Linked DNA regions of Tribolium castaneum. The main gene of each other region encodes a partner of the protein of the gene in region 2 in a complex. Links are inferred from orthologs where the notes say so. Each region holds a gene or a part of one and is shown on either strand. Other genes may lie near its edges.

Evidence for each region.
Region 1: Sld5 (region 2) and Mcm5 share a complex: the UniProt entries of both Homo sapiens proteins name them as parts of the CMG helicase complex. The link is inferred for Tribolium castaneum from reciprocal best matches to the Homo sapiens genes GINS4 and MCM5.

Annotation. Positions count from the first base shown.
Region 1 is NC_087396.1:20,945,373-20,949,207, reverse strand, and holds part of Mcm5 (DNA replication licensing factor Mcm5), read right to left. Parts: intron 3,028-3,835; coding exon of another isoform or gene 3,017-3,027; exon of another isoform or gene 2,647-3,016; intron 1,517-2,646; coding exon of another isoform or gene 1,392-1,516; exon of another isoform or gene 1,081-1,391; intron 678-1,080; 5' UTR 552-677; coding exon 397-551; intron 351-396; coding exon 95-350; intron 48-94; coding exon 1-47. Other genes in the region: Pli (protein pellino), read left to right, coding at 1,392-1,516. UniProt on the Homo sapiens protein: Acts as a component of the MCM2-7 complex (MCM complex) which is the replicative helicase essential for 'once per cell cycle' DNA replication initiation and elongation in eukaryotic cells.
Region 2 is NC_087398.1:5,431,580-5,434,597, forward strand, and holds Sld5 (DNA replication complex GINS protein SLD5), read left to right. Parts: upstream 1-1,501; 5' UTR 1,502-1,573; coding exon 1,574-1,985; intron 1,986-2,069; coding exon 2,070-2,323; 3' UTR 2,324-2,390; downstream 2,391-3,018. Other genes in the region: ATP-binding cassette sub-family C member 4, read right to left, coding at 2,461-2,928, 2,975-3,018. UniProt on the Homo sapiens protein: Required for correct functioning of the GINS complex, a complex that plays an essential role in the initiation of DNA replication, and progression of DNA replication forks.

The DNA.
Region 1 (3,835 bases), on a different chromosome or scaffold from region 2:
CTGACCACAATCCCTGGGATTTTCACTAGTTTTGAGACAACGTCCGACTGAAATCATGCGATTGTAAAGCGGTAAACCCCCGAAAAAACCCTACTTTCATGTTCCTTAAGTTTGTCGGAGTGGCGTCTGAAGACAGCATAATTTGTATGTCTTCAACTGCTTCCTCTCCTTCGGGACGTGGGGCTGTGAGTTCGTCGGCCACTTCCTTGGCCGCTTCCTCAAATATAACCAAGTGTTCCGACGGGTGTTTGTATAGTTTGTCGGCCAACGTCTCGTCAAAAGCGCCAACATCTTCAATGTTGACTTCCAGGTAATATTGGCGCAGGTTGTAATTGCGCTTCAGGGTGTCCCTATAAGGGGGTTTCAGTGATTTTTGGCAATAAATTGGAAACAGACCTGTATTTGTAGCTGAAATTGTCGGTGTGGTATTGTCGGATGAACTCCTTGAACTTTTTCTTAACACCTTGTAAATTGATTTGGGGGTCGCTTTGGTTGTCCTCAACCGTGAAATTATCACTGTAAAACACTCCTGGATCATCGAAACCTTCCATTTTCGTATAAAACACCGATTTTGTGGCGAATAAAGCGTTGTTGTTACACGGAAGTAAATTGGCGGGAACTTTGCGCCAAAGCTGCCAACATTAGTGGTGACGTTTGGTGCCACAAATTCACTAAAACTGGTTTAAAAATTCAAATTTGAAATTCTTTATTTATTTCGAACGTTTTCAAGTTATGAACTTGGTTTAATTTGCCGCTTCTGTCCTTTGTTAATAATAATTGGCTCATTTTTTGCTAAAAAACGCAATAATGTCGCAAAAATTCAGCAAAAAAAAATCAAAAAAATCACTGAATTAGCTCAAAAATTGTCAGTGTCACTTTGACAGTTCCAAAAAAATGGCATTTGAATAATTTGGGTAAAAATAATAAAAATAAATAAATCTGACCCAACATGAAAGAAACTGAACCGGACGTTGTTTCGATTTTAAATTTACGATTCAAAAAAATTCTTTTATGTGATTTTTTTTTGACGAGGGGGGTGAAAAAATTTTTGCACTTCTGCGCCCCTCCAGCCTCAAATTGCATCATCTCCGCCCAGATCTAGGCCGCACCACTGGCGTATTTTGAACAAGTTGAAACCAGTCAGATTGGTGGATGTTGGGCGCTGATTCATCCTCGAACCAATCGCTTAGTCGGAAGTGCCACAAAACCTGCCAGATTTCGCCTCCACAGAGCAAAATCTGCGAAAATGTTGTGCTCGTCTTTGTTTTGACTTGTCGACGCAAAGTCATGACAAGAATGGATCTTTCCACTCTTTCCTATAATATTCTGCGCGATTCGGTGGTTGTCGTGACTTGTCTTCTGATATTTAGTGGTGACTTTACGGCCGGAAAATGGACGAGAGAAAAATGGAACCGAAGGAAGTTTCCACTGAAGTTTTAGTTAAAGTGTATTGCGAAATTGAGTGGTGTTTTAGTGACTCTGGGGATAATAACATGCTAATTAAGAAAATGAAGTTGTAAGTTTGCCATGTTTTTTGTTGTTTGTTTTTCTTGTATTACTTTCTTCTTGTGACATTGATATTGATAACGATGTGATAAGAATGGTTGACTATGAACTGCCTAAGACTTAATTTTTGAATAGGTAATGTGAGAATTTCACCACTTTGGCCTTGCCTATGATTAGTCAGCTAAATTTTTCAGAATTTTGAAAAAAAGGCCCCAATATTTTTTTCAAATAATAAAATTACCAGCAGCCAAAAAATGAACATGCACAATTTTAATTTTCAGGGTGAGTAAATAGTGCCAATTAACACTTTAGCAAAAACCTTATCAGGGCCTTTACATTTATTTATATTTTCTTTTGAAACCGATCGTTTAAAACAATATCGTATTTCAAACGTGAATTTGATATTTGTTGGCCTTGTTTTGCAAAATTTAGAGAAATTCTATAGACGAAAAATGCTTTAACCCGATAGAAATATTAAAAATAGGGAAAAATACCACATTTCAGAAGCAATTTTGTTCATTTTTGCTTTTATCTTAGTTAAATCTGTGAGTATACGCGAAAAAAGCTCGGATACGGCTCGATTTGTAAACTTCATTATCGTAATAAATTCTCGTCATTCTCGGTAAATAATAACTCTACAGAGTGTTTCTTTTTAGTACTAAATTATCGCTCCTTGGAGCATATTATTAAAAAAAAGATGCCAAAGAAAGACTTTCTTTGGCACCCCTGTAGATTAAAATTATGTCTAGCCGCGATGTTTTTTTGTCACTTTAAAGTGAAATAAAATAGTTTTCACTGGTAACAAGTTTTTCTTGATCTTGATCTAAATCTTCCAAATTTTTATAATGTCTATTGTTACACCCTAAAGTCTGATTAATTTAATTTATTTATTAATTTATTAGTTCAGTAAAATTACAAAGAGAAAATGTATTCCGACACCATGTTGGTAGCGTTGGTACTCCTGAAAGCCGGCCCTGACCATTGCAATTTCCCACCGCCTTTTTTGCATTAGGCCATTTCGCATTTACGCTGACAAGGTGATAATAGATTTGGTCGATGAATCGTCAATAAAGACATTCAAAAATTCGCCAAAATCGTGCACCCCGCCACTGTCGTCTGTCATTTCGCTTTTTCACTTCCGGTCCCAGCAGATGTCAGCACTCGCCCAATGTTTACATCCCACCGTCGACGTCCCCCACGATCGACATCCATCCACCGCGCCATTGTTATCGGTAAAAGTGCGGAGAGTGTCCGTGGAAAAGCATCACCGTGCGTGTTTTTCCCCTTGGAAGTCGTGCTTTCATCGCAAACGGTGCGAAACCTCCGTGAAAGCGTCCGCCAGTGCAACGAAGACGGCCGTGCCTAGTGAATGCGTGTGCCACCAGTGATAAACATGCACGAATCGGCGGCTCTAGTGATGTTTTTAGTGAAGCAACGACACCAGTGATTGATATTTTTATGCGTTTCGAATACGACAATCGCAGCCAAACTGTTTAAGACGGCTTCAGAAATGGTGAAAAGGTGGGTACTGGCACCACGAGGGGACTTCATCACGATTTAATCGCTTCATTATTGATTTTGTGCGATTATTATGACGACAAAGGGCCATCGCGACGCCTGATTGTCACTGGAAATGTCAACGATCGGCGATTTTTTATCGCTGGCTAAAGGGGCGTTCACACGTGTTGTTGACAATAACAAGGGACGAAAGTCCACTTTTCCTAACGGTGTGCCTTAAGACGTGATCGAAAAATTAGACAATTTTGGGTCACATGTGGGTACAGTACCGCTAGGAAGTTTTGGCCATTAGTTGCCGGCCTGGCCAAAATTCTCGGTCACGACTGTACATTTCTAATTACCATTTATCAGTGATCTCATTGGTGTAGTCGTAGCATGTTTTTCATGAATTATACATTACAAATAGCTATTAATGATGCACGTGCTTATTAGCGTGAGTAATTGAGATTTTCATACAAAATTGAGCAAGTTTTTAACCTCGTTTGACGATATTTTGTTTGAGTTTTACAAGAGGAAGTGCTTATCTGTTTCGCAAGATAATAAATATTCCAAGTCGAAGATTAAGGACTGAAAACCAAAGATTAATTCTAGAGGTAGTTGGTCACAAATTGCAAGAAACTGAATGAATCACAACAGAAAAATACCAGTCACTCTTACAAATTGTAGAGTAGTGGAACTGAGAACTAATGCAAAGTCCACAAGCAAATTTTTTTTTTGCATTTTAACCCAAACATTTATATAATTACGTCAAGAATTACTTTATTTTGAGTTCAAAAACTCACTTATTGTGCGAAATTTCCTTCCAACACGG
Region 2 (3,018 bases):
TGTTTTGTCGACGCCGAGATGTAGGCACCGATCTGGACACTCACTTTTTTAAATATCTGCACAAATGTGACGAAATTCACTTTTTAACTGAAAATTCCATCTATGATGCGTGATGCAACAAGTGAAGAAATTTTAAAGAAAACAACGTTTTGGATCTATTTATCTAAGGCAACAAGGGACAGCGTCGCAAATTAGCAATTTCGAAATTGATCGATTAGCAAACGTTCGATAATAAACCATCAATTATGAAAGGAAAAAATTAATTATTATTATTTAAGAAACTGTTAAACTAACTGTAGTATCGAGGGTGAAGCAATGGATAGTGAGAGTTTGTCGAAGAAAAAAAAGTTCATCGACTGATGTGATGGTTCATGAGGTCATCAATTTGCTCCTTTTTATGGCTTCTGCCAGTTTTGTCATTGCTTCTTTGGACAACATAAATTTCAAAACCGACAAATTGCCTCGGGAAATGTAATAAAAATGAGAAGATCGTGGTACAGATTGAAAGAATTACAATTGTTACATAAATCAGTGTTAAGTACGATCAATTATCTTGTTGCATTATAGAGTCCCCCTGCTGCGAGCAATTGTTGACTTGCCTTAAGTGGATCTTTTATTGATCGATCTGAGCAAATATTTGCTTAATTTTCCAGACAATAATCTTAACACCGTTCACTTTCAAGTGTTATGATTATAAGATGAATCTCATGTAGGATGACAACAAACAGATGGCTACCAGACACGTAATGACTTATTTATTCTGAAAGTACCAGAGATAAATCGAATGGAAACCGGAATGAAGAAAACTGCTAAGGAAAATTTGTTATTTAATGGAAAAAACTTCCTCATACTAAAAATTATTGGCACGATTGCCTAGAATTGGTACGAATTTCTTACATAAAGTGACGAAATTTGTGTAATTTATCTAACTTAAATGCCATCAGTATTTAAAAGACGTACAAACGTTACGCTCCAGCAATTTAATTGAAGATTTGCAAGCAACCATTTCAGTTATTCACCTACTTAATTTTCATTAACAAGTTTTTGCGGAAAAAATATTCGAGAAGTTCTCCACAAGGATCGCGAAGATTGTGCAACGCCCCTGAGAAAGTCTATATCTTTAAAATTTATTAGATACGCGAATGGTAATATCTGTTTATTTGTAATTTACATACAATCGACCGGAACAATTTGTTTTGTGATTTTTTATGCAATTGATGGGAGTATGGATGTGGTTTCACGCTCATTAAAAATACTCATTAAAAGCGCTAAAAGTTAACAATTAAATGTGACATCTGAACAAATGGCGATGGCCTACATTGTTTGAATTTACTACAAGGACGAACCTTAGTTCTTAAAAATAACCACGCCAGTGGAATTTTTCAAAAGACAAGTCGATAAATTCGGAAACGCAAAATAATGGTGGAGAATACATTATTTGGTGCCCCTTAGCTAGATAACCAATAATACTACGTGTTAAAGTGGGTTTTGGTGTTTCACGGTTGGCAATTGAGCACGTTTTCCCGCGCTTCAGCTGATTAGTGTTCACAGTTGTGTTTTGTGTTATTTTGTAATGGATTTGGAATTGGAAGATTTAGAAAACACGATTCAGGACGACGACGATGACAACGTGCAATTAACTTCAGCCGAGTTAATCGAAATGATGGAGGAAGTGTGGGTTAATGAGAAATTCGCACCTGAGATCCTCCCTCATAAACAAGAAGTTGTCGATTGCGTGCTGGGACAAATATCATACATGGAAAAAAATTTAGAGACTTTACCATCCACCGACTTTAAAAAAGGAATTCATCAATTGGAAGTCGATAGGATTCGTTTTTTGGTGGCGAGTTACCTTCGTCACAGATTGGAAAAAATCGAAACTTATGTTTTGCATATTTTAAAAGAAGAGGAACAGAGGGGCGAGAGAGAAGAAGAGTTGTATTTAACGGAAGCCGAACAACAATTTGCGATTAAATACAAACAAGGTTTTATATTTTGTTTTTTTTTTCTATTTTATTTTTTTAGTTACTGTTTTTGTTTTGTTTTCTTATTTTTTTTTGTTTTTATAGACTTAGAACAGCATTTCGAAAATGCGACTAATTTTTACCCGGGCTTGCCATTCGAAGACTGGAAAAGTCACATAGTTGCGCCAAATATGAACAGTTTTGTGTTTTTGAAAGCTAAAACTGCCGTAGAAGGGGTTGTTATAGACCCAAGCCGTGACGATGATGAAGTCGCTGATTTAACTGTGGGTTCGCAAATGATACTGTCATATAACAGCGTGACTGATTTGGTGAAAAAAGGAGACGTCCAATTGATATAAAATATATGTAATATATTTGATAAAAATCAACAAAAAACTCAAAATAAATACACTGTTAGAATCTCAATGTTAAGTAACATTCTTTAAGTAGTTTAAAGCGTCTCAATTATTTATTAAGTTTTAAAAAAATAAATCTTCTATTCTTCCTTATTATCATTTTGTTCATCACTGGTACTTATTGGTCCGAATTTGTTCTCGTAGTCATTTTTTGCAACTTCTTTCAGCTGGGTCTCTAAATTTTTCCCCGTTTCGCGAAGCATGCGACTAAAACGACCTTCCTGATTTTGTAAAAGCCGGTGTGGGTGGTCAAACTCCACCGCTTCTCCTGCATCCATCACCAAAACCTTGTCCGAGTCCATTATAGTATTCAATCGATGTGCTATAGTTAGGACTGTACACTCTTTGAAATTTTTACGTATACTGGTTTGGATCAGAGCATCAGTTGCCGGATCAACATTAGCGGTTGCTTCATCCAGAACCAGCACTTTGTTATTCCTGACTATAGCTCTGGCAAGACAGACAAGCTGGCGTTGGCCGGCACTAAAATTGGAACCTCCCTCGCTCACTCTTTGGTCTAAGCTGTCTATGGCATTTTTGAGTTCGACCTAAACAAAAAAAATCAGTGATATATTGCGGTTTTACAAAACTCACGTTTTCTAAAGCCTTCCATAAAGTCTTGTCATCACATTTTTCAA